Arabidopsis thaliana: one gene and its partners. The protein of the gene in region 1 interacts with the protein of each later gene in a pairwise test. Each region holds a gene or a part of one and is shown in the gene's direction. Other genes may lie near its edges.

What was found.
Region 2: the proteins of DBP1 (region 1) and AT1G49830 interact in a two-hybrid assay, tested with the Arabidopsis thaliana proteins (one large-scale study listed by BioGRID).
Region 3: the proteins of DBP1 (region 1) and AT5G09460 interact in a two-hybrid assay, tested with the Arabidopsis thaliana proteins (one large-scale study listed by BioGRID).
Region 4: the proteins of DBP1 (region 1) and PRR3 interact in a two-hybrid assay, tested with the Arabidopsis thaliana proteins (one large-scale study listed by BioGRID).

Annotation. Positions count from the first base shown.
Region 1 is NC_003071.7:10,902,216-10,910,138, reverse strand, and holds DBP1 (DNA-binding protein phosphatase 1), read left to right. Parts: upstream 1-4,871; 5' UTR 4,872-5,160; coding exon 5,161-5,343; intron 5,344-5,559; coding exon 5,560-5,766; intron 5,767-5,877; coding exon 5,878-6,089; intron 6,090-6,408; coding exon 6,409-6,985; 3' UTR 6,986-7,144; exon of another isoform or gene 7,145-7,262; 3' UTR 7,263-7,423; downstream 7,424-7,923. Other genes in the region: BGLU14 (beta glucosidase 14), read right to left, coding at 259-606, 658-1,779; AT2G25625 (histone deacetylase-like protein), read right to left, coding at 3,040-3,397, 3,477-3,577; AT2G25610 (ATPase, F0/V0 complex, subunit C protein), read left to right, coding at 7,498-7,766, 7,854-7,923.
Region 2 is NC_003070.9:18,443,723-18,450,668, reverse strand, and holds AT1G49830 (basic helix-loop-helix (bHLH) DNA-binding superfamily protein), read left to right. Parts: upstream 1-3,896; 5' UTR 3,897-4,009; coding exon 4,010-4,279; intron 4,280-4,469; coding exon 4,470-4,571; intron 4,572-4,669; coding exon 4,670-4,735; intron 4,736-5,034; coding exon 5,035-5,136; intron 5,137-5,318; exon of another isoform or gene 5,319-5,345; coding exon 5,346-5,558; downstream 5,559-6,946. Other genes in the region: MTK (S-methyl-5-thioribose kinase), read right to left, coding at 5,762-5,930, 6,018-6,232, 6,335-6,536, 6,618-6,792, 6,874-6,946.
Region 3 is NC_003076.8:2,942,360-2,950,478, reverse strand, and holds AT5G09460 (transcription factor bHLH143), read left to right. Parts: upstream 1-3,639; 5' UTR 3,640-3,791; intron 3,792-4,129; 5' UTR 4,130-4,624; intron 4,625-4,726; 5' UTR 4,727-4,902; intron 4,903-5,018; 5' UTR 5,019-5,061; coding exon 5,062-6,042; 3' UTR 6,043-6,741; downstream 6,742-8,119. Other genes in the region: DIC3 (dicarboxylate carrier 3), read left to right, coding at 1-392, 652-1,238; AT5G09450 (Tetratricopeptide repeat (TPR)-like superfamily protein), read right to left, coding at 7,155-8,060.
Region 4 is NC_003076.8:24,195,682-24,204,150, reverse strand, and holds PRR3 (pseudo-response regulator 3), read left to right. Parts: upstream 1-2,786; 5' UTR 2,787-3,022; exon of another isoform or gene 3,023-3,488; 5' UTR 3,489-3,648; coding exon 3,649-3,916; intron 3,917-4,004; coding exon 4,005-4,166; intron 4,167-4,262; coding exon 4,263-4,651; intron 4,652-4,742; coding exon 4,743-4,890; intron 4,891-5,012; coding exon 5,013-5,292; intron 5,293-5,372; coding exon 5,373-5,403; coding exon of another isoform or gene 5,404-5,436; exon of another isoform or gene 5,437-5,482; coding exon 5,483-5,668; intron 5,669-5,737; coding exon 5,738-5,805; intron 5,806-5,899; coding exon 5,900-5,936; 3' UTR 5,937-6,153; downstream 6,154-8,469. Other genes in the region: PUM18 (pumilio 18), read right to left, coding at 1,214-2,197; AT5G60090 (Protein kinase superfamily protein), read left to right, coding at 6,426-6,591, 6,779-6,948, 7,031-7,220, 7,297-7,730, 7,833-8,069. UniProt on the Arabidopsis thaliana protein: Controls photoperiodic flowering response. Component of the circadian clock. Controls the degradation of APRR1/TOC1 by the SCF(ZTL) complex. Expression of several members of the ARR-like family is controlled by circadian rhythm.

The DNA of each region.
Region 1 (7,923 bases):
ACTAATTTAACTAATTAATTAATTTTAGAAGGCCGAAATAAGAATGAAAATTCTTGATTTTTTTATTTAAATGCATACTATTCCATTTAATTTAGTGTGCACAAGTTTTACATTGAAACCACTATTTTTGAGATTTAAGTTTGATATAATACAGTAAAATCAAACCTTATTTGTATATTAACAATAGTTGTTTTCCAAACAAACCATTGTGCATGTATTAATCTAGTTAGTTAATATATTGGAATGTTGCATATCTCATCAATTCTCCTTTTTTCCATTCAATAAATGTCTGAACCAGTGAGCCGATTTCTTAAGATATCTCTTACGTCTATCGTTGAAATCCACGTAAACAAGTCCAAACCTGACCGTGTACCCCGATGCCCATTCAAAGTTATCTAGCAACGACCATGCAAAAAAGCCCTTAACGTTTGCTCCAATCAAGATAGCGTCTTGAACCATCTTGAGATGTCGAGCGTAGTAATCGATTCTATCGCCATCTTTAAGTAAGATTTTACCAGTGCTAGCTTCATCTCTCCCATTTTCTGTTATGTACATGACAGGGTCTTTGAACTTGTATTTTGCATAGAGGATAAGATCACGAATTCCCTTTGGATATATCAAAAGTCAATCTGATGCAGCTTTTGGACCAATGGGAACTCCATCTCTTTCGCCTGTGACGCTAGCACAAGGATCAGAGAACATTGTAACGTTTTCGCTTGAGCAAGGAACATCTTTTGCATAAGAAGACGAGTAATAATTGATGCCAATGAAATCATATGATCCCTTAAGCATGTTAGATTGTTTTGAAGTAAATGTAGGCAAGCGACCGCCTTTTACGTTGTTAACCATGTCAACCGGGTATTTACCGGTCACGAGCGGCTCCATGAAATAGTCGAATGTGAAAGCCATGGCTCGTGCCGCGGCTAACCTATCCTCAGCTGATTCTGTATAAGGTAAGTTCCAACCTGCATTCAAAGCTATACCGACTTGACCTTTTTGAGAAGCCTTATACTTTTTTCTATAGACTTTGATTGCTTCTCCGTGAGCTAGGATAAGGTTGTGACCAACGATATAAGGCTCGGTGGCTCCATTCCCGGCGGTGCAGTTAGGGTTTGTAAATTTTGAACACCTTCCTGGAGCCATAACACCTGCAACATATCCTTGTTGCACCACTGTTAATGGCTCGTTCAATGTAATCCAATGTTTCACTCGATCTCCAAAGCTCTTGAAACAAATATCGGCATAGTCGCGAAAATCATTAACAATTTCTGCCCCACGGAATCCTCCGTAAGCATCTTCAAGGTCTTGTGGTGTGTCCCAATGGAAAATGGTTGCGAAAGGCTTAATTCCTTTAGACAAAAGCTCATTGATCAAGTTGTTGTAATAGTCAATACCAGCTTGGTTGATTCCTCCTTTAAGATTCCCACGAGGCAAAATACGCGACCACGAGATGGAGAATCTATAGGCATTGAACCCAATTTGATGCAATAAACCCACATCCTCCTTGTAAAGATGGTAAGAGTCATCTGCAATAGATCCGTTGCTACCATCTTTTATCTTTTCTGGGTATTTTTCAGAAAACGTATCCCATATACTAGGTCCTCTACCATCTTCCTGAGCAGCTCCTTCAACTTGGTACGCAGAGGTTGCAGCTCCGAAAATGAAATCTTCTGGGAAATCAGTTTTTCTTAATTTAGGTGTTGAAGAGTGTCTCTTGGCAACAACTTCATTGGAAGCCAAGATGATGAACACTAGTACGGAGAAATATTTACTTGTCATTCTAAATTTTTCTTTTGATTATTGAATCTTTGTTTGTTGTAATATAATGAATTATGTCTAGAGTTATATAGGCAAGAGATTTGTTTTTACATTGGGTATGTGAATCTATAAATAGAGAAATGTAAGATAGAGATGGTGTAACAAATCTTTTAATTTTTACTTGTCCATAATTAGTGAATAGAAGACTATTGAAATGATCTTATCTAGTTGTCTTTCTAGTAGGAAAAAATTAGAAACACACTTGTAAATATTTTCCTTTTTCTTGTAACTACTTTTTTTATCCAACAATTTTGTAAATTCCCAAAATAATTCAAATAACTCTCTCAAGACTCCATTATAAACTATTCTTTTTTTTGTTAAATCCATTATAAACTATTCACAATGATCTTAACTAGTTATCGTCTTTATGATTTATGTCTCGAGAGAGTTATTTGAAATATCTAAGAAATTTACAAAAAAAAATGTTTTCTGTAAGTTTCAAACTAGTTTTAGAAAATCGTGAGTGTGGATTTGCATAAGATGATCAAGCTGTGTCCATTTTCTTGTTAACGTAGGTCTCTTATTGCAAAACCAATTTTTTCTTCTTCTTCTCTTCATGCTACGAGTCTTTTCTCTCTCGCTAAGGCTAATCTCCCTTTATTCTCTCACCATTCTTGTAAAAGCAAAGAACATGAGCATCAAGAAATTAAATTATTGAAGGTCCGACATGGAAGTGAAATTTGTAGAGTTGTAGTTAAACTTTGAAATACGAGGCCGAAATCAAACTAATCGTTGGAGTGACATAGAGTTGGGCTTCACTTTGGATCGATAATAGGCCAACTCATTTCAGTAGGAAGTACTTGGAGTGTTTTTCTTTTGTACTACACGCATGTACTACTTTTCTTTCATTTCACATCCAATAGAGTACTACTTTAACACACAAAGCTGAAAACTCCCAAAATTTGGTAGGATACAAGATTACAAAACAAAGAAAAAAAGGACGGACCAAAACTAATCGTGCACATAAAGATCTCAATGAATTTAATGAGTTAATTATTTTTATACGGTTCGATTTAAACCAAAAATCAAAAATGGCATCCTCAAAGAAAATTTTGCATGAATTAAAGACCAGTTTGGTTCAATGTTTTGTCATCAGTAACTACACAAACAAATACTTAAAATTTAATATATCTACAATAGTTTTTGTGTGTATTATTTGTTTCTAATTGACTTTTTTTACACCTGCCTAACAATCTCCCTTACACGTAATGAACTTCCAATTTACACGGAGAAACAACCACCCCTGTTGACACGTGTCATCACCACACCGACCGGCGGTGCATCACCCTTAGCTAATCCGGCTAACTCCAAACGTCGATGAGCAGACGGACGAGGAAGATTCTCCGGTACGATGGTCTCTAGCGAGTTCTCAAGCCAAGGCGGACACGTCCTCTTGTCACTCCACCTCCGCGGCGGCACCACACCCGCAGCCATCTCTTCTACCGGCGATTTCACAACCGCAGCTTCCACTGATGCAACATCATTGATCTGAATCCCGCCGATTACGACAGTTGCCGCCACCCCCAAGACAAAAGAACACTTGTTTTTCCGTGGCTCTGTCTCATTTTCTGTTCTCCTACTAAACAATAAAAGAACAAAGATCATTGATATGAAAAATTATCAGGTAAATAATAACTTTTCATGAATAGAAGAGATACCAAGAGATCTTTGACGTTGTCTTGAGCAGTGAAGCTAATGATTGTGCAGAATTTGAATCTAGGGGAGGAAGATTTAGACAGCAGCTTATTCTCCCTGCCATTGTTATTCCTCTGTTTTCGTTTCCTTCTTTTTCTTAAGAATCCACCTAGAACAAATTTTATTTTATTCCTTTCACCTCCAACATATATATAACTACTAACCCATTCTTACTTGGGTCACTCATTTTTTCTTACTATATATGTATCCTCAAATTATTACATTTCATATGCGCATGCAATACAAACCACATCTAAATTTTTCTTCCAATATGTTCTTTCTCTATACTTAACTAAAGCCCAAAGAATGAACTTAACCTAGAAAAGATGGACTTGACCCAATAGCATTGGTCCGTTGGAGATGTTAGGTCCATACTCCATACAAAGACAAATTGAACAAAAGTCGTGAATCTGTTTGCTACGTCTGAATAACAACGTACACGTATCACGCCTTGCGAACAAATTATTTGACAATGATGGCCAATTAGCATGTGTCATCACTTGTTACCACGTCAACAAGGTTCTTGTCGGTCCGTTTAATTAATAGTAACCATCGTTTTCAGGAAAAAAATCCACATAAAAAGTTTCTAATGGCGAAACAATATTCAAATATTTCCTAACAACTACCATGAGACTGATTCTTTTTCTCTTCCGAAAAATTAATGAGACTGAGTCCTAATTTTTCTTATAGTTAATTTGGTGACCATCAAAGAATGTAAAAGTATTTAGGAAACAGCACAAATAATCTGGCAATTACGGTCTACAACATGTTTATTTACTTATTTTTAAATTATAGAAAAATTTAATATTTTAATATCTTATATTTAATGCCCTAAATAACACTAAATCACACATATAAATAGCAGAGATATAAATATAGAAAAACATTCCAAGCATTTTTCAGTACTTAACATTTATACAGAAAAACAATTAAACATTTTTCAGCACTTAATAATTAACATATGTGAGAAATTCATAAACTCTATTAAATATTCATGAAAATAATGTATTTTTAATTTTATAAGTAATATCTCATGTGTCGACTTTTTTTATATAAAAAAGATGTAAAAAAGGTCCCAAGTTACTAAAATTCAATTTTGTCAACTTAACTCAAAATCTTTTTGCTATTAGTCTAAAATTTCAGATTTCCTTTCTTGCTATTTTTCAAAATACTATGTTTACTTCTCATATAAACTGTAAATATATCCCTTTTTTAATAAGAAAAAAAATCTCTCACTTCAAAAACAAAAAGGAAAAAAAAAAGCAAAGAGAAAAAGTAAATAATACGCCGACGTTTCGTGTTTATGTTAAGCTTCCTTTTTCCTTTTTCCTTTTTCTTTTTGCCTTTTAAATAACCGTCGGACTCATATTTCTCGCCTCCGCCGGCGAACAGTTTTATTATCTCTCTCTTTCTGCGTGTTCCAATTTCTTCCACAAAACCCTAATTTTCTCTTAAACCCTGAAATTCGTGTAACCTTTCAACAATCTCTTCAATTTTGTTTTCGATTCTGAATCCATTGTTTACGAATCTCTCATCTAAAGCTACATTCTTCGTTAAATCGTTTTTAATCGACTCGCTCACTCGTGAGTTGACTCGTCAGCTGTTTCCATAATTGCTTATTGAATTTTTATACGATGATGTTTCAATATGGAAGAAACTAGAGGAATTTCTGATCCAGAGAATGGGAGTTCGAGTTACGGCGGTAAACCGCCGAATCCACTCTCCTTCTCTTCTTCCTCCGCCGCTGCTGCCGTTTACAGGCAAACCTTCGACGGCGAGCGATCGTTGGCGCCGTGTAATAAGAGGTCACTGGTTCGACACTCATCTCTCGTAAGATTCGTTTCTCTTCAACTTGATTTGTGGATCAGTTAGGTTTATTTTGTGTATTGAATGATCAATTTAAGTTGAGGTTTTGTAATTATTGCTCTGCTTTTGGATTTGATCATTATTGGTTTCCTAATGTGTATAATTAAGGTAGAAAGTTTCTGTTTTTAATGTGTCATTATGAGATGTTTGAGGTTTTCTGATTGATTTTCATTTTGGTAGGTGAAGACAATGGTGTCAGATATATCTGTTGAGAATGAGTTTACTATAGAGAAGAACAAGTCTGAGTTTGTTCCTGCTACGCGTTCTGGAGCTTGGTCTGATATTGGCTCCAGGTCAAGCATGGAAGATGCTTATCTATGCGTTGATAATTTCATGGATAGCTTTGGCCTTCTGAATTCTGAGGCTGGTCCAAGTGCCTTCTATGGGGTATGTTCTTTCTTCAGTTTTCCTGATTTTTTGTAGATTTGTAGCATAAGCAAACAACTGTGAATGTAGTGAAAATATGGGGATCTCTTATTGAATTTTGTTTGTTATTAGGTATTTGATGGACATGGTGGGAAGCATGCCGCTGAGTTTGCATGTCACCATATACCGAGGTACATTGTTGAAGATCAAGAGTTTCCTAGTGAAATCAATAAGGTGTTATCTTCAGCATTTCTTCAAACAGACACTGCCTTCTTAGAGGCGTGTTCATTGGATGGGAGCCTTGCTTCAGGAACTACTGCTTTGGCAGCTATTCTTTTTGGAAGGTTTGTTGATTCAACTCTTATTATCTTTTAGTTTTGTCTAACCTAAACTCTTACATCTTGGTTATGTTAAAGAAAAACGTGTTTGGGAATAGATGCTTATCCTCAACTGCGTAGTGTGCATAATCTTGACCTTTAACACAATCATGTACAACTAATTCGCCTGTAGATGTATTCTCTGCCCATATGTGCTGCTGCTATAATGTAGTTATTGTCTCATATGGTCTTTGAGTCACGTATATACTTGCTCATTTCATACTCTATTAGTATTCTGGTATGAAACCGTTTGGTACCGTGTTAACATATAGTTTTGTGGTAACAGGTCGTTGGTGGTAGCAAACGCTGGAGATTGCAGAGCAGTCTTATCCCGTCAGGGAAAAGCCATTGAAATGTCAAGAGACCACAAACCCATGAGCAGTAAGGAAAGGAGACGCATTGAAGCATCGGGTGGACATGTATTCGATGGCTATCTAAATGGACAACTTAATGTGGCTCGAGCGCTAGGTGACTTTCATATGGAAGGCATGAAGAAGAAGAAAGATGGTTCTGATTGTGGACCTCTAATTGCAGAGCCTGAGCTCATGACAACAAAACTAACAGAAGAGGATGAGTTCCTTATAATTGGGTGTGACGGGGTTTGGGATGTGTTCATGAGCCAGAATGCTGTAGATTTTGCCAGAAGGAGACTACAGGAGCACAATGACCCGGTCATGTGTAGTAAGGAGCTGGTTGAGGAAGCTTTGAAGAGGAAGAGTGCTGATAATGTGACGGCAGTGGTTGTGTGTCTTCAGCCACAGCCACCACCGAACTTGGTAGCGCCGAGGTTGAGAGTTCACAGAAGCTTCTCGGCGGAGGGTTTAAAAGATTTACAGAGCTACTTGGATGGCTTGGGAAACTAATTGGGGGACATGAGGATGGTGACGAATGATTGATTTCTCTGTTTTTGTTTTGTCTTTTCTTACAATTTTATAGTTTGGGGTTTGGAGGTTTTGTTCTGTTAAATTCTCGCAATTTGAGTAAGTTATAACATGAGGCGGCATACAATAATTTATTGTTTGGTAGGATATATTTTTTTGTCACTTTTGCATAATAATAATTCTGCTTCAGTCTCATTTGTTTTGTAACTAGAAAGTTATTCCAATTCCTGCGTTTACCGAATATGTTGTGTTCTTGCAGAATGACGTATGTTAGATATGCAGTAAACTCGAGGGTCGGCTTTGACCACATCGCCACTTATCGGTTTGCGGATGCTGGAAAAGTCAGTCTAGTGATGAGGCTGAGTGAGCCATCGTCAGTTACTATTTTATCGTGAAACTCTGAACAACGAGATTGTCCCGGATATTCAAATGAGGAACAAGGCCCAATAGTCCGATCAAAGTGGGCTATTCGTATCGCTTACGAGGCCTATACGATGGTAATTGAATTCACGCGCATTCATCAGCGCGTGATTTGGAGTTGCTCAATTTCAGATCGCACAGGCTCTGTTAATCATCTCCTCCTCCGAAAGACAGAGAAAGAGACAAATCAAATTCATTCATATCAAAGAGATAGAGAGAAAATGTCCGGTGTGGCTATTCATGCGAGTTCATGGGGCGCGGCTCTGGTGAGAATCTCCCCGTACACTTTCTCCGCCATCGGAATCGCCATCTCCATCGGCGTCTCTGTTCTTGGTGCTGCCTGGTATAAATCCTTTTCTTCTTCTCCCCATTGATTTGCGAAATCATCATGCTTACGAAAACTATTTTGCTCTCTCTCTTTATGGTTTAGGGGAATTTACATTACCGGAAGTAGTTTGATCGGTGCCGCCATTGAAGCTCCTCGAATCACTTCCAAGAAT
Region 2 (6,946 bases), on another chromosome or scaffold:
CATCATACCAACGAAAGATGTATTACTCGAATATTGTTTTTCCTTGTTGACGTCATTTATTAGTCTAACTAGCTTCTTTTATGATTCCAGGCTTTTAACGAACATATAGAGAGGTATATTTTGGATTGAATGTTTCAAGAAATCACATGCCATCATGTTAAACCGTGTTTGGATTTTAATTACGAACTTTCAACTTAACACCAACTGACAATAAAAAATATTGGCTGATATCTCTTATTAACTAGGCGAGATATTATTATTTCCAACTTTTCATTTACATATACATTTTTGCAGCCATTTTGTAAAATAAATCCTATAGTTGAAACTTATTTACAATGATATGCTACTGACATTAAATTTTTAATTATTTGATTTGATTTTTAATTTTTGATTTAAAATATCAATCACGTTATCATTCAAATTTAATCCCAACAACAAACTTCAAATCAAATTCCTTAAAATTAGCTACACATAATCATTCACAACATTATTAATATTATACTTTATTAAAAGGTAAATATTGTATTTATTAAATTAAACGTTTATAATATTTATAGGAAAAAATGTTTAGAATATTTATAAAATAAGAAATCTATAAAAATTAAATAATCATTTGAAAGACACCTTTTAAATTGATTTGAATTATAAATCTTTTAATAAAAATATTATTTAAACAAAAAATAAAATAATAATATTTAATTTCACCGAACGGATTAGATGGTAGAACGGATTTAGAATATTATAATATATGAACTTTATAACAATTAAATAAGCATTTCAAATAAAATTTTTAAATTGATATGAATTATATATATTTTAAATTAAAGTATTATTAAAACAAAAATAATAAAATAATGTTTTATTTTACTGAACGGGGTTAGATGGTATGACGGGTTTGGATCGATAGTAATATGAGACAGTATATCACTGGTGAAATCCATTAAATATATTTAATTTCACTGAGGTAAGACGGATTTGGGTTTATAGTAATACGAGACGGTATACAATGAGTGAAATCCTATAACTAACAATTAAAATACAGTTATATAATTTAAAATATATAACAAAACAAACAATCTTAACAAAAACATATATAATTTAAAAATCGACTTATGGTGTATCCCATGATAAAATCAAGGGATTGTACAATATATCAAAATTAGAATTATATATTTATAAAATACAAAATAATATGTTACATATAAATAATTTATAAAAAAAAAAAATTTTCAGTTTTTTTTACACCGTGGGTTAAAATCTAGTTGAATATTAAACTCAACTACATGTTCATGTTATTTGATCAGTAATGTTTCACTTATAGTTGAAATTATATGCTATTCAGTTAATAGTTATAAAATAAAAATACATATAAAATTTTACAAAAATTGAAATACATTTTCCTTCTTTTTTTTTAGTTAAATACATGAAACGAAAATTGCAATTATAGATAGAATAAAATTGTATATTTAGAAATTTGCACTATCTTGGTTTTTGTATTAAAAAGAAAAAGGGATAAAAAAAAGTATATATTGAATGGGCCGTATCAGAAAATAACATGACGCGTTCCACTAAGAGAACAAAACTAACGTCTCTTAGAACACCCCCATTGGTAGAGTCCCTAATTAAGGATTTTCAATATATTAATCATATTTTTTGCATAATTCAAAGTTAAAGACTTCATAAGGAGATTCTTATTTTTTCCTCCTCCAATGGTAGAATCTCATTAGGGATTTTCAGAGAAACCTTAAAAGATCAACATTTTTTTCCAGAGAAAATAAAAACCAACAAAATCAAGTCCAAGGAACTATATTTATCTTCTAGACTCTGCTCAAGTTTCCAATTCATCCTGAGCCATGTCTTTGGTGATCTTGTTCTCCATCTGAAGATCAACAAGAATCTAACCAGGCCTAGTTCGACCAATCCCATGATTTCTTCTACCCCTAACCCACATAAGATTGAAACATACATACATTTCGTCTCTTAGCCACAAATGTAATCACATACAACACCAAACACTCATAAATCACCAAATAAATGTTATTTAAAAGCCCTTAACGCAACTTAGCTTCAACTACAGAGAACTTAAAGACACGACTGATGTAATCGTATACAAGGATCAAAGTAAATAATTGTGACTAGAACTCGAAATATTAAGCATGAAAATTTTTGAGATCTCTAACCATAAGAAAGCATCAATTGAAATAAGCAATGTGAAGAACTTACCAGGTTAAGGAAATTATGAGCAAGGCATCTTACGGAGGGACAATTCCTATACACAAAGCTATTAGGATTCATGTACTCATCAATGTCTCTGACTCAAAAAATATTTCGACGTTACCGTGACGGTTCTATTTACAAAACTCTGATTCCCTGTTAGGTGGTCCCTCTTCAAAGCTAAGAGAATGTGTAAACACACAACACAAACACAAGTTTCTTTTGGCAAATCAAGTCTAATTCCTTCTCATAACTTGGCAGTCTTTAAGTACACAAAGTAAAGCAAAGGGGATCGACAACTAATCCTAAAAACAAAGAACATTATTAACAAAGTGGGAATATGGAAACGTGGAGCTTGATCTCCTAAATCTAAGTAACGCACTTATCAATTCTTCTATTCTTTTTGACCATTTCTTCTGTGGTTCAATCATGGTTAAGCACTTATCATTCACCAAAAACATCTGCTTCATATATCCACGTTACCTGCAATGATAAAATGGGTTTGATTCCTTGATAACTCCAAAAAGATGCAAAGAAGATAATGATTCTGAATTTTTGATACAACACTGGTACAAAGCAACTTCAACTGAGATAAGAGACCCCGAAAAGTGACAAACCCCATCTCCGATTTGGTTCACAGTCCTCTCCGATTAAGTTCACCAAACTAGTCGACGTTGAGCACCGTCGGTTGAGATGATGAGCACGATGGATAAGAGACAAATTCCGTCGATAATCTCTTCCAATTTGATGATATAAACGCGTGATGATGATGATCACCAATCGCTCAATCGCCACCGGAGTTAACAAGAGAAGAGAAGAGAGGAAAATCGATTTGAAAAACAAAACACGGCAAAAGAAAAAAAAAAGTTTTGTCAAAAAAACACAACCAATGATTAGTTGCCACGTATGCGCACCTTAACAACTGAAAAAACTCTAAAATTAGGTGCGATCCCAAGTTTAAATCACATTTTAGATTTATTTTTTTCCAAAATTACTTAAGGATTTATGTTAAAAACTGTTAAGGATCTCCCAATGGACTTGCTCTTAATGTAAAGATTGATACGAAAACAGGCCATACACACTGATTTGGTTCAGCCTGAAGCAGTCAAAGTTATGGATGGTTATTTACTTATTTTGGTTAATTTACCATAGCAATGAAACAGACACAGTGACGACTTGTATCCTAAGCCTTTTAAGTGTCCAAAAATGAAACTAAACTTGTGGACTACTCAACTCTGTCAACCCTCCTAAATTTAGCGTGGTCTTGCAGCTGTACGTACCTCACTCTTCTTCGCGCATGTCAAACATCTTTGTCTTTTTTATTTTTGTAAAAATAATTTTTCAGTTTTCACACTTTTTTATTATTATTTTAAATGAAAAAAATAGTATGTTTTTTAATTCAAAATGTGAGAGTTTTACATCAATGTGAGTTTCTCGAGCTTTTCTATTGGGATTTTAATATCTTTATCCGTAAACATTTTGTGTTTGATTAGTTTGTTTTACAAAATTCATCATTTCGAGTAAATAGAAACCAACAGTTTTCTTGGGCCAAGTTGCCTTACCATTTTTCTGATTTCTCCTTTACCAACTTATCCCATTGATGTAATATCATAGTTAACTATTGTTGCTACTTGCTATAACTGAAATTATGCAATTTTTCATCTTCTTTTTTTACTATTAAAATACATTTATTGATACTATTCTTTTCTGGTTTCTCACCTTTTCACTTGTTTTCTTCTTTCTCTGTCAATTCCACAAACAAGCCTAAGCAAGAAAAAGAAAAAAAAACTCTACGATGAGAGGCACAACGGACGAAGAAGACGGTGTCATGAACTTCTCTGATGTTCTTATGATGTCTGATGATGTCCTTAGCTCCGGTGAAGTAGAAGAAGACAGCTTTGGTTTCAGATTCACCGGAAACGATGCTCCTCAAATGCTCTGTTTCGGCGGAGGAAACCAAAACGACACCGATCTGCTCTTCTCACAACCCTCTTTCTCTCCCGCTTCCCCTCTCTCTTCACGCAATAACGCCTGTGTGGTCAATGATCAATCTTTTAGATCCAATGTAAGTTATATATATGTAAAACATTCCTACAGTTAATATTATTTGAAATTTTAGCCAAGCTTTAAGGTCATTAAGTAAAGTGACAAGATCATTAAAAAGTATATGCATCAGTGCATGCAACAAGTCAAACACAAGATCATTATAATGTATAATTTTTATTTTGTTTAATGTTTGTCTCTTTGTTTTGAAGAAGAAAACCGGGTCGGCTGATGGGCACGACCGGGTTTGCGATCCAAAACCCGGTAAGAGATGCAAGCGAGATCAGAAGAAGTCATCGCTTGGAAATGCTAAGGTTTGGCTTTAAAAGTGTGTATATTTATGTATACTTATCTAATGGATCAGCTATTTGGGTGAATAATAGTAATTAACAAATGCTATTCATAAAAATAGGTCAAGAAAGAAAAGGTTGGTGAAAAAATCACAACATTGCAGCACTTGGTTTCTCCATATGGCAAGGTGGATCAATATACTAAAACAAGTTACCTTCTCTCTTTGTTTTTGGTTCATATATCTCTTATCAACATAATACTGAACTAAAATCAAAACCCTGAATCTAGGTGATTAAATTTTGATGTAAACTTGAAACTTTTACTATAGTTACGTCATTTGGTATTAGCTTGAAACCTTTACTTGTAGAGAGATATTCACGGACTATATTTTACTGTTTTGGAGGTACATTATGTGTTTTGGTAATTAAAATTAGTTTACTTTCTACATTTTAACTAAGAAAAATGTAATTTGGAAAATTTGAATAGACAGATGCAGCATCAGTGTTGCATGAAACAATGGGTTACATAAAATTCTTACAAGACCAAGTTCAAGTTCTTTCAACCCCTTACTTCAAACATAACCCTCTTGTAAGTCATCCATCATCCTTTTGTATTATCTTATTTCATTTTTTTGTTACACTTTTTTCTTGGTATCCTCTTTTTTTGTTACACTCTATGTCTTTATCAATAAAACCGGAAGATATTTATTTTTCCATGATTCGAAACGACTGTTTTAAGACTTAAAAGATTACTATTTTGACGGTGTTGTGACTGATGAATAGTTGATGTGTCGTCAGGACGACGAAGACACCGGAGAAGTAAACCCGACGATGAAAGTGAAAGAGTTGAGAAGCAATGGTTTATGTCTTGTTCCACTAGCTTGGACCGTACACGTGGCGAATACTAACGGTGCTGATTTATGGTCCTCTGCCATCTTGTCACCACTCACCAGTCACACCAACAGTGAACCAGTAGAGATTGTGGAAGTCAAATCTCATAAAGATAAGTAGATAATCTTCAAAAGTGAAAATATTTCTAAACTTTTATTATTATTATTGTAACAAAATGCATTTGAATACCATCATCACCACCACAAACCACTAAATTACAAATCCATGTGATAAGCAGCATTGTGATACTTTTCTTGCCAATTAACTCCCAAGATCAAAACAAGACTTTCAAGAACTTCAGCAGAAGAACATTATAAATTGTCTTAGCTTTGTTGTTGAATTGCTGAAACAACTTCACCGATACTCTTAAACTTTCTCCTTTCCTTGAGAAGCATCTTCGCAAACTCGAGTGCACTTCTCTCGCAAATAGCTCTTCGCTTATCTTCTTCGATTGATTCAAAGTCCTCAACATGTGCCACTCCCACAATTCTCCTGCCATATCATCAAACCAACACTGTCAACAACGTTTCTGAGTTTATATGATCGACAAAGAAATCTCATGGACTAAGATTCTCTCACCTAATCATCTTTGCAGCGCCGAATCCGAGTGAGTCATGCAACAAATTCCTCATGTAGTTTTCTTGAACAAACTTCAAAACCTCGGTATTGTTATAGATATCTGCAAGGTATGCTTCGCCTGGTCCATCTTTGTTTTGATCCCATAGCGCAATGAACCTTTTGTTAAACAAATTCCAAGTTTGCTCAATGGTTCTCAAGATCCACTGCTTGTATTCCTGAAAATAGAATCATGTTGCTTTAAACTGATGTACTTGCAACCGTGTAGACGATGCCTAGACAGAAAAACTGCAAATCAGAATTCTGAATAAATTGCTTACTTTTCGATCATTTTCCTGAGTGGCGTGTCCATCTTGTGCAAAGAAAGCTAGTATCAAGTTACCAAGATAAGCGCCAATATCGAAACCCATCGGTCCATAGAACGAAAACTCTGGATCTATAACTTGCGTTGAATCTTGAGTAACCATGACAGAACCAGTATGAAGATCACCATGTATTAAAGCTTGAGCTCTTTCACAGAACCTAACAACATAATACACAATGGTGGTTCAGAGATACTAGCAAATCCTAGCGGAAATTACCGGGAAATGAGAAAACACATACATCGATTTTAGCTCTGCGATTTCGAGCTTCAAGGCACTGTCTTCGCGCACAGCCTTAGCATCATCATCAAGATAAGGTGAAGTCCAACGATTAAATGTGGAAACTCTATATGGGTCCGAAAACACAACTTGCTCCGTTAATCGGCATAACTCCACATTACCACAAAATTCGGTTACTACACAAACACAAAAGACACTCACTACAAGCAACACGATAACATTGACTAGTAAATAAAATAGATGTGAGGGTTTTGAACCTGCTCTTCTGTGCTCTGTGGTATCGTGATAGAGGAGAGAAGTGAAGAAGAGAGTCTTCGCCATGTAATCAGA
Region 3 (8,119 bases), on another chromosome or scaffold:
CGCAATCATCGCCGGAGCTCTGACTCACCCATTAGACCTCATCAAAGTCCGTATGCAGCTTCAAGGCGAACATTCTTTCTCGCTCGACCAAAACCCTAACCCTAATCTTAGCCTTGATCATAATCTTCCCGTGAAACCTTACCGACCCGTTTTCGCTCTTGACTCTCTCATCGGCAGCATTTCCTTATTACCCTTACACATTCACGCGCCGTCTTCTTCCACGCGCTCCGTCATGACCCCTTTCGCCGTAGGGGCACACATTGTCAAAACCGAAGGACCCGCCGCTCTCTTCTCCGGCGTCTCCGCCACCATCCTCCGTCAGATGCTTTACTCTGCCACCCGTATGGGTATATACGACTTTCTTAAACGAAGGTGGACTGATCAACTCACCGGTAATAATACTAAACTCGATCGGCAACAATATTACTCAAAAAATAATTTTGGTTTTTATTCGGTTTGGTTTGGTTTGATTACACTAAAAGTCGTTTACAGTTCTCGGTTATTGGTTTTAAATAAGAAAACCAATGGATTTATAAACAAATGCTGGTTCGGTTTCGATCTTAAACAGTTTCGGTTTGTTTGGTTCGAATTTTTTCCATATTATTACACAAAAGATCAAATAAATTAAACGTAAACGATAATTCCAAACAGGTAACTTCCCATTGGTAACCAAGATCACAGCTGGACTCATCGCAGGAGCCGTTGGATCAGTCGTCGGGAATCCTGCTGACGTGGCGATGGTGAGAATGCAAGCCGACGGAAGCTTGCCGTTAAACCGTCGCAGAAACTACAAGAGCGTCGTGGACGCGATCGACAGGATCGCAAGGCAAGAAGGCGTTTCAAGTTTATGGCGTGGCTCATGGCTAACCGTGAACCGTGCCATGATCGTGACAGCTTCTCAGCTCGCTACGTATGATCACGTCAAAGAAATCTTGGTAGCTGGTGGCCGTGGAACGCCGGGAGGGATAGGAACGCATGTAGCGGCGAGTTTTGCGGCGGGGATCGTCGCGGCGGTGGCGTCGAATCCCATCGACGTTGTGAAGACGAGGATGATGAATGCGGATAAGGAGATTTACGGTGGACCGTTGGATTGTGCGGTGAAGATGGTGGCAGAGGAAGGACCAATGGCTTTGTACAAAGGGCTTGTTCCGACGGCGACGAGGCAAGGACCGTTCACGATGATCTTGTTCCTTACCTTGGAACAAGTTCGTGGTCTGTTAAAAGACGTTAAATTTTGATTAATTTTTTTCAAGTAGTTAGGTTAATAAATGTTTGAGATTCCCATATTTCTTCATACATTTCATATACGTTTAAAATATTTTGAAAATAATTATATAGCGATTAAGGTAATATTTACTAGAGATTTTTGTATAAAAATAAATTATTTATTTGCACAAATATTTTTTTTAGTAAATGCGAAAACTGATAGTGATTGAAGCAAAGGGACTTTTTCGGACGGTCCAAGTCTCTTGGACTTGGGGGATATACTTTTGCTGGGGACCTTCATTTGGTATATTCCTTTTTTTCTTTGGGTACTATGTTCTATTTTCTTGGTTGACAGAAAATATGAAATATCGCTTCTAAATTACAATTTCTTTTGTTTGTTTGTAAAAATCTAAATTAGAAATTATGCAAAAAATTATAAGAAAATAAGATTAACAATAATGTTTTTCTTTTATTGACTTTGATCATATTATCTCTATAAAAGAGAAATAAAATCTTTCTAAAGTTTTTTTACTTGAGTTTGAAGCTGGTGGCAATTTGGTGTTTGTTTTATGAGATTGTATAAGAGTTATCCAAAGCTGAGACATGGCCCAAAATAAGTCCAAGGCCATGTTTAGGCTCCATTTTGCATGGCCACTCCACTCATCTAACCAAAGCCCAGTCTCAATTATGTGAACTGAAATTTCTATGTTTTGTTTTTTCACACTGAAATTTCTATCTAACTGTCTTTCTTTTAACATGTTTCAATGATTTGCTTCCGAATAGAACACATAATAATTGTTTCCTAAAATTTTAAGAATTTTGAAGTACATAGTAGGCATTTGGGTCCACTGATCTCACACGGCAACGACTATTCTCAAATCTCATATCACATCAAAATAAAGAAAAAAGATTCAACGAGAAATTAAAATCTTTAGAAAAAATGTTCCAAAAAGAAAAAGAAGTCATCAAGGCAATTAAGCACTTAATTCCCTGTGCATTTTTTTAATCATTCACTTGCGTCTCTTTCTCTTTTTCTTTTTTTTTCTTCTTTCACCAAACTTGCTTACCTCTTTATTCGTTTTCTTTTCTTTCTCCTATGATCATGGAATTTGGTGGATGCTCCAACGTTTTTCACCTCAATCACTTATTAAAATATCATGTACAATAGTTCGTAATTATATATGAAAAAACGAGTGGGCTAAATTGGTGTTTTATAAGCCACGTCAAAAATATTGTATTATTTAGCTAGCTACTAAACTAGTCAAATATGTTACAATGTATATAGTTCAATTTGTATCGCGTCATCGTAAAGACATAAATGTTCCAAATCATCCCACCCACACACCTAAAAAGAAAGGTTAATACTTTAAAAATAATGATTATAGAAACCACCAAAATGGTTAAAAACTCACTTCCACTATTTGGCTCATAATTATAAAGAAAAAACGTTGCCCCCCCCCCCAAAAAAAAAAAAAAAGTTAAAAAGAAGACGAACATATAATGGCTTTACTTTAACGAACTACTAAGAAATTCTCACGTTTATGATATTACATAATTATTAATTTATGGCTTGAAATTATGGATCGCGAGGGTTTGCCATTATACATCATAATTACATATATTCTACGTTCCACCTCCTCTACTCCTCGTCCCATTGCAACCATCCAAACTAATAAAAATATTTAGATTATTTCTACCATTCAATTCAAAATTATATGCATTTTAAATTATACTATATGTATTTTCTAAAATAAATTTAAATTGAACTGAATTAAATAAATTTAATTTTTCTTTATAAAAAATATGTGTTAGAAATATGAATTGAAACTCATACTAAAGTGTATTTTAGTTTTAATTTCTACTAAAAAGAATAGTAAAAAATCAAAATAATAAGACTATATCCAATGTTCAATTCTATTTTTTCTTCTATTTTAAAATTGACTCTATTTTAAAGGTATTTTATTTCATTGTATGACTCTAAAATAAAGTTTTCTCTAAAATAGAAAACAAATATAGAGTAAGTTGTCTTTTGTTCTATTTATAGAGTAATCTCTACATTTTTCTTCTATTTTAGTAGTAACTCTATTCTAAAATATATAATAGAGTAAAATTAATTATATTTCTTCTTAAATTGAGTTAATATTAAAATAGAAGAAAATAAAGTTGGGCAATGGAGATGGTGTTATGTTTTGCTCAAATGAGTTTTTAGAGTTGATGTTCCAGCTTGGTTATCTAAATTTTGGAAGAGAAAGAAAAATGAAAAAAAAAAAAAAAAAATCTGAAATAAACTTGGTTGATGTGAACTGTTTTTTTCTTTTTCTTTTTCTTTTCCTGGTCTCCATTATTGACGGTAAATAAAGTGGTGGAAAAGGGTAAAATCGTCACAAGAAATAAGAAGATGTATAAAGCAATGTCACACACTTCAGTCTTCACGCCCACTTTTAGTGAATTTGCTAAAAATATATTTTCGAAATAATATTCCGCTTTCTCGTTTCTTATCCGTTCAAGCTTTCGTGAATTCGTCTCATAAACCTCTCCACTCTCTCTGGATCTCCACGCATAGATCTTCCTCTGTTTTCCTCCATGTACGCTTCTTGGATTCACTTAACCATTGTTTGTCGCTGTGCTCTCTCTGTTTTTTTATTCCTCGAAAAAGTTGAATTATCAGCGAATTTGATGCAAATGTGTTTAAATCGTTACCAAAACGGATAAATTCTTCTATTTTCGTAGCTTGGCTTGCAAAATCCAAGCTTTTAGTTCTTGATTTTGCTAAAATAAATTATACTTGTTCAATGCTGCAGAACATGTACTTATCTTCTTCTGCTGTTTATGGTTTCTCTATCCTTTCAATTGTTGTGAATGTTTGGTTTCTTTGGTTTGTTATTACTGGAATTTGATGAGATGATTCTCTGTTTTGTAACAGAATTCTTCTCTCTTTCTCTGGATCACAACAAAGCAGTGAATGAGAAAAACAGCATGAGTTGGTTCACAAGGTCTGTTGATGTGTACCGTAAAGTTGTGAGCTTGAATCTGTATTGCCGAGTTATTCTGTAAACTTTTTCTCTGCCTTGAAAAACCCCATCTTCAATCTTCTTCTAAATCCTCAGCCTTTTCTAAACTCTTTAATAATGGGATCCCAACGTTTCTACGTTTTCCACTGTGACCAGTATAGGATCATCTAAACCCTTAAAGCTTCTCTTTTTCTTCTTCAAGTCATCTGTCTTTTGGTGACTTACTCTGTTCTGTGGAGAAACACTAGTTTTACATTCGAGAGTTTGGAAAAGTTATTATTATGGTAAGTCAATCAGCTGGTCAAACAAGATTTCGAACATTCAAGTACGAGAACAACGGAGACTCTAGCAGACCAACAATTGTAGTGAGAGTTATTGCTTGCTTCCAACCGATGGATAATTGTCAGGTTTGTTGCAGCAAAAATGATATTATACTCTTTTTTTTGTCACATTTCATCTCATAGTCCTGTGTTTCTTATCTAACACTTTTGTCTCTGTTCCACTTGCAGGCTGAATACTTTAGACATATACTCAAACCAGTGACGTAGTTGGTTTGTGAGCTTGTGTTTGTATTTTTGGAGCTGGCACCTTTTTTCTTTTTGTCTCTACTTTCTTATACGATTGTTTCAAGAAAGAATCAACAAGTGTTGCGTTCCACACATTTGAGCAACAGCTTCCACAATCGGTATGCTAACTGAATCTTTGACTCTTTATGGATTATTGCTTTCTTGAGTTGGGCTACTAGTAGTTGTCTCATTCATAGCCATGTCCAATGATTAGTCCCTTTCCTTTTTCGTGCAGTATTGTATTCCTGTAAAGTTCCCTTGGCTTAAACTGCAAGAGCATGCCTCTTGATACCAAACAGCAGAAATGGTTGCCATTAGGCTTAAATCCTCAAGCTTGTGTCCAGGACAAGGCGACTGAGTATTTCCGTCCTGGAATTCCTTTTCCGGAACTCGGTAAAGTTTATGCAGCTGAGCATCAGTTTCGCTATTTGCAGCCACCGTTCCAAGCCTTATTGTCTAGATATGATCAGCAGTCTTGTGGAAAACAAGTTTCATGTTTGAATGGGCGATCTAGCAACGGTGCTGCTCCAGAGGGGGCACTCAAGTCTTCTCGGAAAAGATTTATAGTATTCGATCAGTCGGGAGAGCAGACTCGTTTGTTACAATGTGGATTTCCTCTGCGGTTTCCTTCTTCTATGGATGCAGAGCGAGGGAACATTCTCGGTGCCCTACACCCAGAGAAAGGGTTTAGTAAAGATCATGCCATTCAAGAAAAGATATTGCAACATGAAGATCATGAAAATGGCGAAGAAGACTCGGAAATGCACGAAGACACTGAGGAAATCAACGCGTTACTGTATTCTGATGATGACGATAATGATGATTGGGAAAGTGATGATGAAGTAATGAGCACTGGTCACTCTCCATTCACAGTTGAACAACAAGCGTGCAACATAACAACAGAAGAGCTGGATGAAACTGAAAGCACTGTTGATGGTCCACTTCTTAAAAGACAGAAACTACTGGACCATTCGTACAGAGACTCATCACCATCCCTTGTGGGCACCACTAAAGTCAAAGGCTTATCAGATGAAAACCTTCCTGAATCAAACATTTCAAGCAAACAAGAAACGGGTTCTGGTTTGAGCGACGAGCAGTCAAGAAAAGACAAGATTCACACCGCTCTGAGAATCCTGGAGAGTGTAGTTCCAGGGGCAAAGGGAAAAGAAGCTCTTTTACTACTAGACGAAGCCATTGATTACCTCAAGTTGCTGAAGCAAAGCTTAAACTCATCAAAGGGTTTGAATAACCATTGGTGAAAAACCTACAACCCCTTTTGTCCTATTGATAAGGCATGTTTGGTTGGTTAAAGAGAAGACATGGGACAAAAGATAATCAATGAGGTAAAGGACTGATGAAGAAGATTCTCTCAAATTCATTAACGTGGGTTTGAAACAATTAGAACACGCCTGGTGACCCTAGTGGGACCGTATCCACTGTTCATCTAGCTGGATCAATAGTGGTTTACTTTTGGATTTGGCATGCTCTCTCAAAAAAGAACCAAAAAAAAGTCACTTTCTTCTGTGCTTGGAGTGGAAGAAAAGTGAAAGAAGGGAAAAAAGCAAAGTCTTGGTGCTCATTGATCGTTAATAATTATCTTTACTCGTGAGTAATAATAATATCTCTGTGAAGGTCTGGTGGTGGTGGGTGTGGATGAAGAAAAATCAAAAAGGCAAATATTGAAATTTTTGGAGTGGTTGTGACTTGTGGAAATTGAAATCTTCCCACTTTCATTAGGTGAAAATCTATGTCCCCACTCTCTCTTGTCTCATTATTACTCTTCTGTTGCTATCAATCCCATAACTTGTCATCTTTTTTGTTTTTTCTAATCTCTCTGGCTCTTAAGCTCTTCAAAGGCCTTGTAGTTTTGTACTATTGTAATGTTATTTGCTTCTGTTGTTTCTCTCATGGGTCTAAACATGTTTGTGTATCATGTTCATGTAATAAACTCGAGTGTTAATAATGGAACCTTCTTTGGCTTCTTACATGCTAGGATTTTGCTCTAACCTTTCAAACTATCATTTTTTCTATACCAAAAACAAATTTTGTAGACTTATTATTAAACAACAACCATACAAGAAAAACCTCCACAATCTATTTTTTGTTGTAAAATTTGGACTTTTTGAAATTTGACGTTACATATGAAATGTTATGGACCTTGCCTAAGGAAACACATCTTCCGACTATGCAGCAAAATCTTCTGGTGAGGAAATCTATGTGTCTCATGACCTCCCACGTAAAGAACAAAAAGATATTTAAGAATCACAGTGAAGAGAAGAAACCTCTATTTTATTCATCCACCATGATTAATGAGCTTGATCTGATTCTTCTTGCTAAGAGCATAAAATTTTCACCAACTTATTTCTCCATCTTAAGATGATCCTTCATTCTCCAAGCTGCATTTGTTATGCACCAAGATCAAGTGAAAGCCGCTGGCTATTCCCTCTAAACCAACATCTCGAAAAGCATTCAAGATCCTCAAGCAAGCAGAAGCATCAAACTCTGTCGTTTTAGACTCTTTCCACTGATGGATAATCTCCTCGGCTTCTCTCAAATGACCAAGCATTAGATAAGATGAAAGAACACAAATGTAGCTTCTACTACTCAATATCTGGTTGGTGTTTCTCAAAGACTTCCAAATCTGATCTATCATAACCTTGTTCCCTAGACCAGTGTGCAGAATCATAAGGAAGTCATATGTGATCCATTCTCTTTGCGAAATAGATTTCTCAGCTTCGACAGGCAAAGTAGACTCTGCATTAGTTACTCTACTACTGTTTATGTAGATGCTAGTAAGATCGATATACCGAACCCAACCCTCATTGGAACTAGCATCATGCCTCATCTCTTCAAGAATCTTTCTAAGCTCATCTATATTAAAGGTTGCAGCACATGAACTTAGCCACAAATTATAAGTAAAAATATCCGGAGAAACCTTTTTCTGCTTTAACACTTCAATAACCTCAGGTACTTTCTCAACTTGCCCAACTGACATGTATAAAGTCATCATCTCGTTGTATGTGATGGCACCAAAAGTGAGACTATCACTCTCAATGATTCTCTTGAACAAGGCCTCGGCTCGTTCGGTTTGTTTGGAGGCAGCATAAGCATGAAGGAGAGAAGTATAGGTTTCAGCTGTCTTTGAATCTATATCCAGACCTTCAAAGTAGCGTTCAGCTGCATCGATCCCGAAAACTTTTGAAATCAGATCTATGCGTGAGGCGTAATCAGCATCTGAGATCTTTGATTCTTCATGCTGTACCATCCACTCTGTAACCTGTTAATAATACTTGAATTAGCTCCCAGAAGAATGCAGTTTTGTGCAGCAACACATAA
Region 4 (8,469 bases), on another chromosome or scaffold:
AATCCTAGTCCTAGACATCTCCTTCGAGAACCTCAGTGCCTTGCCTACCACGATATTCCCAAACTCAATCTTTGCCAGCCTCATCAACCTATCTCCGTCGCACTCCAAAAGCTCCACAACCACCACTACCGTTGACTCCTCCGCATACAGAAGTTACTACATACTTCTAAAACGAGAGCTCAATGCAATGACCATAAAGATTAACTGCGATGATCCCTAGATAAAATGGATTTGATCTTGTCACTTGCTAATGAGAGCATTAATGTCAAATTATAAAGATTTTAACTAATGCGAGTTTTAATTTTTTTTTTACATTAATTGACTTGTATTCATAGAACATTTGTAGCAAAAACTTGGAAAACAGAGGTTTCTCTCTATTGTTATACTTGTAGGGCTTCAAATTGGAAAAAGAAAAAAACACTGCTAAAACGCCATCGTTTTCGAAAATTAGTCATTAGAGGCCCACGGGAACACGATATATGGGCCTAAGTTTCGGTCAATTCTATATAAGAAAATGACAATACTGTCCTAAATAATAGAGGCACAGAGACAGAGAAAAGCTTTTAACTTACTGGTTTTACAACTGTGAGCTGATTTCTGATGTGCCACTCTATTAAAAGCTTTTAACTTATTGAATTCATTAGTTTGTTTGGTTATTTTTCGTTAATGTGAAAAAGTTTCTGCTAGAACCATTAGCAGGAAGATCCGTTTGTGATATCTAGAGATTTCTGATGGCTATGAGACATTTGTATCTATCTTGATAAGATTGTTATCTGAGTATAAGCTGTATGCTCTTCGTGATTTTCCTGCTAATGGTTCTAGCAGAAACTTTGGGCTTGTGACAAGGCAGCCATACAATGGAATGGAAGGGAAGCTGCTTCCTTAACTGAGCAAGGTGCGATTTTATCTTTAGTGCACCAAATATGATTTACTTTTCTTTCATAAGGTGTTGATGAAGTTTGCAATGTGTATTCGTTTACAGCTCTCGATTTAGGTTTGTTTTGTTTTCAGAAATAAGAACACAAGAAGAAATGTATTAGCCAATTTCGTTTTTCAAATTGTGTAAACTCTTCTTCATAAGAACTCCAACTTTACAAAACAAAATAGTAGTTTATGACGAAACACTTTTCTTACCAGAGTTATGTAACTACATTGAACACCGGAACAATTAAACTATTGTAAGCTGGTTTGAAAAATAAACACAGAGTTATAATCAGCAACGAAGCCTAAATGAGTCCAAGATGTTTGCAATGTTGCTTCCGTGAGATCTACGCAAGAGACGGATAAAAGGCATGAGCTTCTGCACCAAACCCCAAAACAGATCCATCCTAGACATCTTGGTGAATCTCAGAGCCTTGACCACCACGAAATTCCCAAACTCATTCCTCGCCAGCCTCATCAACCTGTCTCCATCGCAACCCAAAAGCTCCACAACCACCACAACCATTGACTCCTCCACCTCCAAAAGCTTCTCCACGATGTAGCTTCCATACTTCTTAAACGATAGCTCAATGCACTGACCATAAAGATTAACGGCGATGTTGTGAATGCAACGCGAGTCATACAGTGTAAGCACATGTTGGACCACAAAGTTCCCTGAAGCATCGTTGCTTAGCCGGAGAGCGTTGGATGCGACCAATTCTAGTAGCTGATCTCTGTAGTAAGGATCGTCAGCGTCGGTTATGATATCATTGAGCGCGATGCAGCCGTGCTGGTCACACGCTAGGTCGAGAGCGTGGTAGAGAATGCGCTCGTACAATGCCTTTTTCATCACCTTGTCGAAAACGACCATGGCTCGTATCGTCACGTAGGATGCGTATTTGTCGGTCGTGATGTGGAGGAAGCGGCGCAAGATAGCGGCACAGAAGAAGGCGTCCACGTCATCTGATTTGCCGAGGAGCTTCTGCACGCGTCTCGAGCCGAACTTGGTTGTGACGATCGACATGAAGTAATCGGAGTCAGACGTAAGCAACGAGGCCATCCTCTGAAGCTCTGTTTTGTCTGAATTTGAGATCATCTCTTTAAAGTAAGACACACCATCGCCGTCAGTCATTAGGTTGAACAGAGCTGCGTGCAAGGGCGTGGCGGAGGCGCGTGGGGCGAATCCAGGAGGAGGAATGGAACCGGAGATTCCTTTAGGGTTTGGTAAAGCATTGAACATGGTCGACATTGAAAAGGGATTATCAGCGACTGCCATTGATAAATCTCTTGATGATCTACAGAAATTTCTCTAGAAAAGGGTTTAATCAGTTTGTGTGATTTGGGAGAAGTATGAGAGACTTGTGAATGAGAGATCTGTGGTGATGCGTAGAGTATTTATAGAAAAGTTAGGGCTTTTGTTTTTCTAGTTACAATTACACAACTCGGATTACTACTAGGAAAAGGAAAAGGAAACTTATTTGGTGGAGTTTCCTTTTTGTTTTGTCAATTTTCCTTTTTTCTTTGCATTTTCGTAACTGTCATGATTTTAATCTATCTTTTTTTGGTGTGTGAAGATAATAATAATCTATCTGAAACAAATGGAAATATGTAATTTGTTTTGTTGTAAATCGACAATAATTTAACATGTCGATAATCTCTAAAGTCTAAACCAACCCCTCGCAGTCCAAGCTTTTGATTTTGTCCACGTCACTAATCTCAGCATGCGTAAATTTATCTGGTCCTACTTGACACGTAGGTTAGTTCTGCCACGTCATCAAACTCCAAAATAATATCTTCTCTGACCTTTTTGTTCTACCACCTCCCAAAAAATCCCAGTCTTCTCTTCCTCTGATTCTCTATCAAGTTTTTTAAATTTTCTTTCTTTTTATTCTATTTTAGTAGCAATTTGGTTCTGTAAAGTTGTTGGTAAAAGAAAAATAGATACGAATCAAAACATTTTTGAATGATTAGGTGATTAAATGCTAAGCAAATCAGATTAAGCAAAAATCTGTTCTTTTTTGGTTGTAATTTGGTTTTTCAAGTCAGATATGGTGAGAGATTCTGGTGGTGGTGGTGTTCATCAATGGATTATGTGAAAAAGGTTTGCTTTTGTTTGTCTTGTCGCTTTTACAATCTGCTGCTGTTTGAATTTTGTGCTTATTTCATTAAGTATTATAGCTTAGAGCCTTAGAGTTTGATTTTGTATCTGGTTCTGTAGAGTTTATAAGAAATTTGAGAAAGTAGGAGATCTTTACAATCATCTAATGAATAAAAGAAACTGTGTTCAAAGTTTGTTAACTACTTACCAAGTACTGTGATAATTTTCCATTGGAACATTGATAGCTTTTGATTTTAGAAACAACAAGTTTCAGATTGTTTTCTAAAGCTGAGTGTGTGCTACTATTGAAATTTGATTTGGCTTGTTTAGTTTTTCTTTGGACAAGTTTGATGATTTATCCAAATTCAGTTTTTTATTTTTTGGTTCTGGTGTGAGACTGTGATCTTCTTACGGAATGTTGCTTTTTTTTTTGTTTCTCGTTTCTTATTGGGCTGAGGTTTTGGTGAAGGGATTAGAATAAGTTTGGGGAAAGAAGAAATGTGCAAGTGTTATGTCAGTGTAGAGGGGAAGTTTCTGCAGAATCTTAGCTGTTACTTGATGCTGCTTCTATTCTATCTTGTTCATGGAGGCTGGTCTTGACACTTTCATGAGATATTAGTATTCTAAAAATGTGTTTTAATAACATTGAAACTGGTGATGAAGTGGAAACCGAGAGGCAAGTGTTTGGTTCATCTGAAGAAGATGAATTTCGAGTTGAAGATACTGCTAGAAATACCAACAATGTACAGATTTCTCAACAACAGCAGCAACCGCTAGCTCATGTTGTGAAGTGGGAGAGGTATCTCCCAGTTAGATCGCTTAAGGTTCTTCTGGTGGAGAATGATGACTCAACACGCCATATTGTTACTGCCCTTTTAAAGAATTGCAGCTATGAAGGTTTTCTTATATTGAATTGATCATCCTTGTTTAGCAATCACATTTTTGCTTTTGACTAACAGTTGTAAATTTGGAAACTTTTTGTCAGTTACTGCTGTTCCGGATGTCCTTGAAGCCTGGAGAATTCTAGAAGATGAGAAAAGTTGCATTGATCTTGTCTTAACAGAGGTTGACATGCCTGTGCATTCAGGAACCGGTCTGCTGTCCAAGATTATGAGCCATAAGACACTTAAGAACATCCCCGTCATAAGTATTTACTCAAATCCTTGATTAAATTTTTGTTTATCCAGCTTCAATATGCCATGCTCAGTTTGTGTAACTCAAGATGTGATGTTTCTTTTTGTAGTGATGTCATCACATGATTCTATGGTTCTGGTCTTTAAGTGTTTGTCGAATGGTGCTGTTGATTTTCTCGTGAAACCCATTAGAAAGAACGAACTAAAGAATCTTTGGCAACATGTCTGGAGAAGATGTCACAGCGTAAGAGTTCTGATTTGGTTACCTGTTTTACAAAAGTTACTCTGTGTTTTTTTCTTACTTATGCGTTTATTGATTTACCAGTCTAGCGGAAGCGGAAGTGAGAGTGGAATACATGACAAGAAGTCGGTGAAACCTGAAAGCACCCAAGGGTCAGAAAATGATGCCAGCATCAGTGATGAACACAGGAATGAAAGTGGGAGTAGTGGTGGTTTGAGTAACCAAGATGGTGGGAGTGATAACGGGAGTGGAACTCAGGTAATCTGTTCTATGGCTATAGATAATAACAATGTCTGAATAAATCGGTTTATAAATTTTTGATTGGTTTTGCATTTATAAAAATATGTAGAGTTCTTGGACAAAAAGAGCCAGTGATACTAAGAGCACCTCGCCTTCAAATCAATTTCCCGATGCACCCAACAAGAAAGGAACCTATGAAAATGGATGTGCACATGTTAATAGACTGAAGGAGGCTGAAGATCAGAAGGAACAAATAGGTAAGAACGCAAATTAATTAGTCAATTAAAATGTGAGTACACTGATCTTGTGGAACAATTCCTTGAGATTCTCTCTGATTTACTTTAATTCAAAACAATGACTTTAGATGATATTGTATTAGGCACGGGATCACAGACAGGAATGTCTATGAGTAAGAAAGCTGAAGAACCAGGAGATCTTGAAAAGAATGCAAAGTATTCTGTTCAAGCTTTGGAGAGAAACAATGATGACACGCTGAATCGCTCTTCTGGTAACTCACAAGTAGAAAGCAAAGCACCTTCATCTAACCGAGAAGATTTGCAATCACTCGAGCAAACTCTGAAAAAAACAAGAGAGGATAGAGATTACAAAGTCGGTGATCGAAGTGTGTTGAGGCATTCAAATCTCTCTGCATTCTCAAAGTAAGTTCTTGACATTAACTGCAAATGAAATGTCGAACCTGTGACTGATTTGGAGTTATTGGTTCTCTTGTGATATGCAGATACAATAATGGTGCTACTTCTGCTAAGAAGGTAACTTTTCATGATGCTTGGCGCTGTCTTTGAAATTTATGCCGGTTTCATCAAAAACTTTGAACTTTTGCTGAGTTAGGCTCCAGAAGAAAATGTGGAAAGTTGTTCTCCTCATGACAGTCCTATTGCAAAACTGTTGGGTTCGAGTTCAAGCAGTGACAATCCTTTAAAGCAGCAGTCTAGTGGAAGTGACCGATGGGCACAAAGAGAAGCTGCTTTGATGAAGTTTCGCCTTAAACGTAAAGAGCGATGTTTTGAGAAAAAGGTAAGCTCTAAACAAGCTTAAGCTCTTGTTTCCTGAGACGAAACTAACGTTTTTTTTGGTATCCTTTAGGTTAGGTACCATAGCAGGAAGAAACTAGCTGAGCAACGGCCTCACGTCAAAGGTCAATTCATTCGCAAGTAAGTTCAAATCCTTTCCAAGATTTCTCCCTCTAGATGTTTCGAAAAGTATCCTGATATAGTAATGTACTCACATGGAGTCCTTTGCCTTTAGGAGGGATGATCATAAATCAGGAAGTGAAGACAATTGAACAACAAAATTGGTATAGAAGAGAGATCCACCTCCAATATCTGAAGAACAGAAGAAAATTTCACAAAGTGGCATTTTTTTTTTTCCATTTCCAAAAACAGATAGTAGTCTTGTTTAAATAACGTCATTACTATTCTACAAACATAATAATGTCGCTATAGTACTTCTTCTCTGAAAACAATAACTCATTAACATTTCAATAAATAATGTTACTCATTAATTAGTGTGTGTGTTTTATGAATATAATTTGAGTATTTAATTCTCTAATTTTTTTAAGAATTATTAGAGCGCATAATCTCCCGTCTATATAAATATCCTCCGGCGAATTCTTTTAGTTCTCATCATCCAAACCTCTCTCATTCTCTTTCTCGCTCTAGTTTTCTCGTTGAGAGTCTCTTACTCTGTTTAATTACTTGTTTCCGGGAAAAAGATTCTCGGGAAAACAAAAGAAAAAAATCTCAAGAAAGATTCATCTTCGTTGATCGCTACGATGAAACGTTTCTTATGCTGTCTCAAAGGAGGAAGCTCAAGTAACGCAGCGCAAGGTAACGACGAGAACGACGAAGTAGATGTCGAGCGCCTATTTGGGAATAACGAGCGCCTCAATCATCTTTGGAGAAATCATCTCCGACTCCCTGACGATCGTGAAGTTGCAGGTTCCGTTTTCGTTTCTCTTCTTCAATCTCTTGAAATCGAGATTTCTTGTTTTCTGGGTTTCTTGTATCTTACGCAACTCTGTATTTTAAGAGTTTCTTTCTTACTTCTTCGTTTTGGTCTCGTCACATTCTTGCAAGTGAAAGTAGTATCTTGTTCAATCTTTAACCTTTGGTAATTCATTTGCAGATCCGACTGCTGCTCTGTTACCAGTATCTCCACCTCTACCTGATAATTGTGGAGAATCATTTCTATGGCGTGAGCTCGTAAACGGAACCATAAACTTCCGGGACGAATTTTATCTCGGCAAAGGCAACTTCGGCGAAGTCCATCGCTGCTATTTCTCAAGACTTAATGTGGTATATAGACCCAAAGGTCATGTCCTTTATGCTTAATAATCGAAACCCAGTTTCTAAAGTCTGAAACTTTTGATTTCATTAGGATGGAGCGGTAAAGGTTCAAAATCCACAGAATCCAACTGGTCATGTTGAGTTCTTGGCAGAGGTTACAACGTTACGTGCAACTAATCATCCAAATGTGATTAGACTTCTTGGCAACTGTTACGGCCAAAGGAACCGTGCTATAATTTACGAATTCATGGCCAACGGAGATCTTGAGCGTCACATCTTTGGTAAAGAAAACTCAATCAAACCCTAATTGATGACTCTGTTTTAGCTTCTAAACCTAATTGATTCTGTTTTTTGTAGCACACAAAACGATGGTGGAGGGTCCGCGACCTAAGGGTCTAACACTACCAATTAGGGTTTTGGATTGGTACACGAGGATGAAAATTGCTGTGGGTGTAGCCAAGGGCCTGGTTTATCTACACGAGGAGCTGAAAGTGATTAACAGAGATGTCAAGGCCGGAAACATATTACTTGATGCAGATTTTGTTCCGAAGCTGACAGATTTTGGATTGGCGACTAAAATCGTTGAAGATGAAAACGGTGTTGAGCAGCAGCAACGGATCATTCCGATGAAGGCATCTATGGGATACATTGCACCGGAAGGAGAGATTTCCTGGTTGGTTTCGACTAAGACTGATGTCTATAGCTATGGAGCTTTTCTGTTAGTGCTTTTCACCGGAAGGAAACCTTTTTATTCGGATAATCCTGCTGGGAAAAAGAATCTCACTGATTGGGTATGACTAAAACTTTTGTATCTAGGAACCTTTTACACGTTTCGTGTTATGGAAGTTAGTAGATTAGCTGAGTTTTGTTTGGATGTTCTTATTTTTTTGCAGTTTTTGAGAGTATGGGATAGGATCGAGGATGCGCCTGTGAAAGCTGATGTTGCGCTCGGTAATAGGTACTCGGTTGAAGGTTTAAAGAAGATATTTGATACTGCGAGGATGTGTATAAAGGCAGAGAGACTTGAACGGCCTACCATGAGTGAAGTGGAAGCGATGGTTCTCGAAGCTGCAGCTTTCCCGGTCCAAGTGCCGCGCCAGGTGACAAGGAGGCGTTCGGCTTCAACATAAGAAGTTTTCTCAGGCGGTTTTACGTAGGGCTTCTTTTTTTTCTTTGGTGTTTGGTTTTTCAGAAACTTGGTTGTGTAACGGATGGTTTTGTTACTTTTTGAGATGTTTTTGAGACGAGGTCAGGTTAGGTTGTGAACTTTTTGAGATGGTTTTGTTAATCAACAGCTCGAGATCTTTTCTTTTCATTCTCTGTTATGGAAACTTCTTAAAATAGGAGAGGAGAGGAAAAAAGCAGAGCATAAATGTTCTTATTGGAATTTTGTTAGATGCTCAAATTTATCTCTTTCGTTTCCGGTGCAAGAATCATTTCTATTGGATCGATGATTCTGCAACTATACTAGTCAAGTTGTGAAAGGTCATGACTCTTGATCATATATACCATGAGAAGCTTTTTATATAT